Saccharomyces cerevisiae S288C: one gene and its partner. The protein of the gene in region 1 interacts with the protein of each later gene in a biochemical or structural test. Each region holds a gene or a part of one and is shown in the gene's direction. Other genes may lie near its edges.

Region 1 (5,443 bases):
TTACATTTCGACATTGCAGCATCTACAGATCCAGAACAGGTTTGTATTCGTGATTTTGTCACTGAAGGTCAATTGGTTGTCGCGGATATTCACTCAGATGGTTCTGTTGGTGATGGACAGAAACTAAACCTCTTCGTGCGTGATTCAGTTGGAAACGAGTATCGTAGAAAGAGGGACTTTGCAGGCGACGTTCGTGTTGCGTTTACTGCTCCATCCTCCACGGCATTCGACGTTTGTTTTGAAAATCAGGCTCAGTATCGTGGCCGTTCTTTAAGCAGGGCCATTGAATTGGACATTGAGAGTGGTGCTGAAGCTCGTGACTGGAACAAGATCAGTGCCAACGAAAAATTGAAACCTATAGAAGTGGAGTTGCGTAGAGTGGAGGAAATTACCGACGAAATTGTCGACGAATTGACTTACTTGAAAAACAGAGAGGAGAGATTAAGAGACACCAATGAATCTACCAACAGAAGGGTAAGAAATTTCTCAATTTTGGTTATTATTGTCTTGTCCTCGCTGGGTGTTTGGCAAGTCAACTATTTGAAGAACTACTTCAAAACGAAACATATCATTTAAGCAAAGGAAGAGGACCACACCATGCATTTGTGTATCAGCTTACCCTATAATTGCATATGTACTCGACTATTTTCTACATATATATGAATAGATTCCAGAACCGAATAAAGGAGAAAAAATATTTGAATATGGATTTGTTCGCTTCACATCTTTAAGTAACCTAGTTTTCCCAATACGCAACCAAAGTCCAAGTATGTCATGAAAAGCCTCTTGCCATCAGTAGCACAACTAATCATTTCAATGGTCCCAGAACTTTGGTCAGCCCCGATGAGATTGGAGATTTTTTGAAGGTCTTTTACGCTTAATACATGATCTCTTAAGGCCACTTGCGGGAAATCCACGTCTCTGCCACAGTTTCTAATAAGCATCGACCATAAATCATCTATTACTGTTAAATTATTCATCAGTATCAGTAACTGGCATGTGCATCGTACCAGTTTCGTGAAATCTATTACGTCAGTTCCTTCTATAATGACGTCTTCATTTCTCACCAGTTTCCAAATTGTGGGCTCTAGTTGCAAATCCTTGAAGAACCTTGGTAGTTCATTAACGGTCATATCATGGTCCAGACTGGATTCCGCATATTTTTCCAGAATTTCATCTTCAACTTCGATAGGTACTTTCGGGTTCTCGAATAGCTCTACTCTTTCATAACTAACGTTAGTGGATTTGCTCATTGAAAAAAAACTCGGAAGGTATTTAGGTGACCTTGCGGCTTCTTAATGCTGACACCTGCATGCGTAATTGTTATTATATATATATATGATAGTATATTTCATACTTGTTCCTTCTAAAGGTGACCCGCCTGATATGCGACATAGAAAAAAATTTGGATGAACATGTTCAAAGATTGGTAGCATTGACAAGAACCATTCATACAAGTAGGTAACAGCAGAAGGAAAGAGGAACGGGTGTTGTGATAATTATGAGTGACAACTCGGACACAAACGTGAGCATGCAGGACCATGATCAACAATTTGCTGATCCCGTAGTGGTTCCGCAGTCAACTGACACTAAAGATGAAAATACTAGTGACAAAGATACTGTTGATAGTGGCAATGTGACCACAACGGAAAGTACAGAACGTGCAGAAAGTACAAGCAATATTCCCCCTTTAGATGGGGAAGAAAAAGAAGCAAAATCTGAGCCACAGCAACCTGAGGATAATGCAGAAACGGCGGCCACAGAGCAGGTTTCATCTAGTAACGGGCCTGCTACAGATGATGCCCAAGCAACTTTGAATACGGATTCATCCGAAGCAAATGAAATTGTCAAGAAGGAAGAGGGCTCTGATGAAAGGAAGAGACCTCGCGAAGAGGACACCAAAAACAGTGATGGTGATACCAAAGATGAGGGCGATAACAAAGATGAAGACGATGATGAAGACGACGATGACGATGATGATGATGAGGACGATGACGATGAAGCCCCAACTAAAAGGCGTCGTCAGGAGAGGAACAGATTCTTGGATATTGAAGCTGAGGTTAGTGATGATGAAGATGAAGATGAAGATGAAGAGGATTCAGAGTTGGTTCGTGAAGGTTTCATTACCCATGGTGATGATGAAGATGACGAAGCAAGTGCTCCAGGCGCAAGAAGAGACGATAGATTACATAGACAACTGGACCAAGATTTGAACAAGACTTCAGAAGAAGACGCTCAAAGGTTAGCGAAAGAATTAAGGGAGCGTTACGGTAGAAGCAGCTCCAAGCAATACCGTGCTGCTGCTCAAGATGGTTACGTGCCCCAGAGGTTTCTCCTACCAAGTGTTGATACAGCTACCATTTGGGGTGTGCGCTGCAGACCAGGTAAAGAAAAGGAATTGATTCGTAAGTTATTAAAAAAAAAATTCAATTTGGATAGGGCGATGGGTAAGAAAAAACTGAAAATTTTATCCATTTTCCAAAGGGATAATTACACAGGAAGAATCTATATCGAAGCCCCTAAGCAATCCGTTATTGAAAAATTTTGTAATGGTGTTCCAGATATTTATATTTCTCAAAAATTGCTAATTCCTGTCCAAGAATTACCTCTATTACTAAAACCAAACAAATCTGATGATGTTGCTTTGGAAGAAGGTAGCTACGTTCGTATTAAGAGAGGGATCTATAAGGGTGACTTAGCTATGGTCGACCAAATTAGTGAGAATAATTTAGAAGTTATGCTGAAAATTGTTCCTCGTCTGGATTATGGTAAATTCGACGAAATTGATCCAACAACACAGCAACGTAAATCCAGAAGACCAACTTTTGCTCATAGAGCACCACCGCAATTATTTAATCCAACAATGGCTCTAAGATTAGACCAAGCTAACCTGTACAAAAGGGATGATCGCCACTTTACTTATAAGAATGAAGATTATATCGATGGTTATCTGTATAAGTCCTTCAGAATTCAACATGTGGAAACCAAAAATATTCAGCCAACTGTGGAGGAATTGGCAAGATTCGGTTCCAAAGAGGGCGCGGTAGATCTAACATCAGTTTCACAATCAATCAAGAAGGCTCAAGCTGCAAAGGTCACTTTCCAGCCAGGTGATCGTATCGAAGTTCTAAATGGTGAACAACGTGGTTCCAAGGGTATTGTAACAAGAACCACGAAAGATATTGCTACTATCAAACTAAATGGCTTTACAACGCCTCTAGAATTTCCTATCTCTACTCTGAGGAAAATTTTCGAACCTGGTGATCACGTTACTGTCATCAATGGTGAACATCAAGGTGATGCTGGTTTAGTTCTTATGGTAGAGCAAGGTCAAGTGACATTTATGTCAACTCAAACAAGCAGAGAAGTTACCATTACAGCAAATAATCTGTCCAAATCCATCGACACTACAGCTACATCAAGTGAATATGCGCTACATGACATAGTCGAATTGAGTGCTAAAAATGTTGCTTGTATTATTCAAGCTGGCCACGATATCTTCAAGGTTATTGATGAAACTGGTAAAGTGTCGACAATTACGAAGGGGTCTATCTTGAGTAAAATAAATACTGCTCGTGCACGCGTTTCTAGTGTCGATGCAAATGGTAATGAAATCAAAATTGGTGATACCATAGTAGAGAAAGTAGGTTCACGCAGAGAAGGTCAGGTCCTGTACATACAAACACAACAAATTTTTGTTGTTTCAAAGAAGATTGTTGAAAATGCAGGGGTTTTTGTTGTTAACCCTAGTAACGTTGAGGCCGTGGCATCCAAGGACAATATGTTAAGTAACAAAATGGATCTAAGTAAAATGAATCCAGAAATCATTTCTAAAATGGGACCTCCATCATCTAAGACATTCCAACAACCCATCCAGTCCAGAGGAGGTCGTGAAGTTGCACTCGGCAAAACAGTAAGAATTCGTTCTGCTGGTTACAAGGGTCAATTAGGTATTGTGAAAGATGTGAATGGTGATAAAGCTACTGTCGAATTACACTCGAAGAACAAACACATTACAATTGACAAGCATAAGTTAACATATTACAACCGTGAGGGAGGTGAAGGTATCACGTATGATGAATTGGTTAATAGACGTGGTAGAGTTCCACAGGCCAGAATGGGCCCAAGTTACGTCAGTGCCCCAAGAAACATGGCCACTGGCGGTATTGCAGCAGGTGCTGCGGCTACCTCTTCTGGTCTTAGCGGTGGTATGACACCAGGATGGAGCTCCTTCGATGGTGGCAAAACACCAGCTGTAAATGCGCATGGAGGCTCAGGTGGTGGCGGTGTCTCCTCATGGGGTGGTGCTTCCACTTGGGGTGGCCAAGGTAATGGAGGTGCATCCGCTTGGGGCGGTGCTGGCGGCGGTGCCTCAGCTTGGGGCGGCCAAGGTACTGGTGCTACTTCTACTTGGGGTGGTGCTTCAGCCTGGGGTAACAAATCAAGTTGGGGCGGTGCATCCACTTGGGCGTCGGGTGGTGAATCTAATGGTGCCATGTCTACTTGGGGTGGTACCGGTGATAGGTCAGCCTACGGCGGGGCTTCCACCTGGGGAGGAAATAACAATAATAAAAGTACAAGAGATGGCGGAGCTTCTGCATGGGGTAACCAAGACGATGGAAATAGGTCTGCTTGGAACAACCAAGGAAATAAGTCAAACTATGGTGGTAACAGTACATGGGGAGGTCATTAATCACCAAAAGGAGAACCAATATCACCCAAGAAGAAATCAATAAAAAAGACTTTAATATTACCACGTTAATAAGAATAGTTATGAAGATTTCGATGTTTCGATGAAATACTGAATCTCGATCTTTTTTTTTCATTTATGCTTGCATTTGTATGTCACGAGTTTTCCTTGATTCTAACTTTTACATATACGTATGTATGTATGTATGCATATGTGTTTTTGCATATCTAAATGAAATATCAACTTTATTATGAGGGAGTTGATTATTGTAATGTAATTTTATATAACTTCTTTTTCGTTAGCGGAATTTCTTTCCGTTTGAATCGTATACAAAATGTATGTATCCATTACTTATTTACAGGATAAATGAAAAAAAATGCGTAACGTCTGCGTATTCGATGGGCTTACATGCCGGGGCTCGTGCTTATTCATATTTCTTCACTTGGCTGTACGCAAGAAATCCAATGGCTTTCTTTCTGCCACTTTCCTTTTCTTTGCTTCTTTGAAAAGCACATGCCGTTTCACCACAGGATCGTATCTGACCTGAGTAACCAAAGGTGCACCTTTCTTAATCGAGATGTAACGAGAGTATCCACTTGCCGCTGTAGACAATAGCTTTATAACACTATTCTTAGATTTCACTTTTACCATATCGGCACATAAATATGGAAACAGTTACGATGTTGTATTCTTACTATCTTCCGCTGTAGGGGAGCAGTCAATACGTTTGTATGCAGTGAATTATAGTTTTTT
Region 2 (2,804 bases), on another chromosome or scaffold:
CATTTGAGAAAACTACCCGAAGATGATCAGTACTTATACTCAGACGATACTAACTCCAGTATCATAGCTGAAGAGGAGCTACATCATAGCGTAGATAAGTCCTCGAAGACAGACGTTACGGCAGAAACTACAGCTGTAGAACCTCATCCTCACAATTTAAGGCATGACTTGCCATATGAAGTGAGAGATGAAGCTGGGCGTAAATGGTGGAAATATTTTGATGAATTCGAGTATCGTGTTAATAAGGAATACAAGAAATCACGTAAGTGGTACGAGTTTTTGTATCCTAATCATACTACTCAAACCAAGGCTGAAAGACGGCTTCTTTACAAGCTAGACATTATTATTGCTTTATACTTTTTTATGTTATGTTGGTCCAAGTCAGTGGATTTGAATAACTACACTAACGCATATGTTTCCAATATGAAGGAAGATTTAAACATGAAAGGTAATGATTACGTTTACACTTCTACTATTGCTAATGTTGGTGCCATTGTCTTCCAATTACCATTTATGTATTTGTTACCAAGATTTCCCTCTCATATTATTTTGCCTGTAATGGACTTGGGCTGGACTTGGTTCACATTTGCATGTTATAGGGCAAACTCACTAGCCGAACTAAGGGCTTACAGATTTATTTTAAGTGCCTTTGGCGCTGCTTACTACCCAGTGTCCCAATATATACTAGGTTGTTGGTATGCCCCAGATGAAATTAATTCAAGAGTCTGTTTATTCTTTTGTGGGCAACAATTGGGTTCCGTGACTTCAGGACTTCTGCAAAGTCGCATATTCAAAAGTTTGAACGGCGTCCATGGTCTAGCAGGCTGGAGATGGATGTTTCTGATCGATGCCATTGCAATTTCTCTTCCCACGGCTATTATTGGTTTTTTTGTTATTCCCGGTGTACCATCTAAGTGTTACTCTTTATTTCTGACTGACGAAGAAATACGAATTGCAAGGGCCAGAAATAAGAGGAACCAAATCAAAGATGGTGTTGATAAAAGTAAGCTAGCCCCATTATGGAGCAGAAAACTTTGGAAGAAAGTATTTTGTACTCCAGCATTCTGGGTACTTGTTGTTTTTGATACATGTTCGTGGAATAACATGACTGCGTATAGTGGTTCATATACTTTGTGGTTAAAGTCTAATACAAAGTACTCCATTGCCCAAGTGAACAACCTGAGTGTTATACCCGCATGTTTAGGATTTGCGTATGTGATTTTTTGTGCCTTTGGTGCCGATTTATTTAGATGTAAGTGGATATTCATGGTTTTTGCTGCTATAATGAATACCGTTTCTTGTGCCTTACTTATCAAGTGGGATATTCCTTCGAAAGCTAAATGGTACGCTTTCTTCACCACGTATTTCAGTGTGGCCGCATCGCCTTGTCTATGGTCGTTTATTAATGACTTCTTAAGGTTTGATCCTCAGGTGAAGGCTATTACATGGATCGCCATTTATTCCTTCTCTCAATCCACTTACGCCTGGATTCCTACCTTGGCGTGGCCTACCGTGGAGTCACCACGTTTTAAGACTGGTTACACCGTGAGCTTAATTTTTGGTGCTATTTACGGTTTATGGACGTTTGTTGTACTTTTTTTTTACAAGAGAAACGAAAAGAAACATGCTCTAGGTAATGGTATCATCTTGTATGATAGTAATAAGGGTGAAGAGCTTCCAGAATTTGTAAAGAAAAATATGGAGGAAAGAGATGGTTACTACTATTTAAAGCGGTCCTCGTAGTCCAATTTACGTGAAGTAGATAGGTATATTACGCTTTAGACACCATACCTCAAATAAATATATTCATGTATATAATTTAATCATCTTCTATCTATAATTAATCTCGATGTTGATAAAGGTCACCTTATACGTTCTATGAGTGAAATCGAGTGAAAAAGTGAAATTTAAGAAAGGGCTCGAAGGATGTACTGTGTAATAATTACACCTGGCCACATTCAGTTTGGCAAAAGCGAACGAGGTACAGTGTAAGAGATGTCTAGTGAAAGAGCCTGTATGCTGTGTGGCATAGTGCAGACCACAAATGAGTTTAATAGAGATGGTTGTCCCAACTGTCAGGGTATTTTTGAAGAGGCAGGTGTTTCTACAATGGAATGTACGTCGCCTTCTTTCGAGGGCCTCGTAGGAATGTGTAAGCCTACTAAGTCGTGGGTAGCAAAGTGGCTGAGCGTAGATCATAGTATAGCTGGTATGTACGCCATCAAGGTCGATGGTAGACTACCAGCTGAGGTTGTGGAGCTGTTGCCTCACTACAAACCGAGGGATGGCAGTCAAGTTGAGTAAAACCTTCCGTTCTGATATCACATGTATAATAGTAATGAATTTTTTTTACTTTTTTTTTTTTTTAGTAAATATTCTAGCATATGAGTTTATGCTTTCATTTATTTAACGTTCTGCACTTTTGTTTTTGCTGGCAAACCCAATTTTTCTACCGTCCAGTAATTCAACTAAGGCTAAAAAGACTTTCATTAGAAAAAAAAGGTCCAAGGATAGGAAAATTTCAAGATAAAGTATGGCATTATGTTAAAGAGGTTAGCCAATCGTCAAAATGGTTTTGCGTCATTCTCGTGCAGCTCAGTCGGTCTGCGATATGGTAGGACTAATCCAAGTACAAAGAGAAGCTTTTCACTTTTTCAAAGTGTAGCGGACACGTTTTTAACAGTGCATGAAGCCTCACATATACCATGGATAGTGCTTGTTCCTTTGACTACTATGACCCTTAGAACCCTCGTGACGCTGCCATTCAGTATATGGCAGCGGAGGAGAATTTTGAAACAACAAGA

The links. The genes of interacting proteins can lie anywhere in the genome.
Region 2: the proteins of SPT5 (region 1) and SPT4 form a complex in vitro, tested with the Saccharomyces cerevisiae proteins (4 studies listed by BioGRID, with this or other methods).

What each region holds. Positions count from the first base shown.
Region 1 is NC_001145.3:246,176-251,618, forward strand, and holds SPT5 (transcription elongation factor SPT5), read left to right. Parts: upstream 1-1,501; coding exon 1,502-4,693; downstream 4,694-5,443. Other genes in the region: ERV25 (Erv25p), read left to right, coding at 1-576; RAD33 (Rad33p), read right to left, coding at 720-1,253; mitochondrial 54S ribosomal protein bL33m MRPL39, read right to left, coding at 5,129-5,341. UniProt on the Saccharomyces cerevisiae protein: The SPT4-SPT5 complex mediates both activation and inhibition of transcription elongation, and plays a role in pre-mRNA processing.
Region 2 is NC_001139.9:617,016-619,819, reverse strand, and holds SPT4 (transcription elongation factor SPT4), read left to right. Parts: upstream 1-1,995; coding exon 1,996-2,304; downstream 2,305-2,804. Other genes in the region: VHT1 (Vht1p), read left to right, coding at 1-1,743; membrane insertase COX18, read left to right, coding at 2,542-2,804.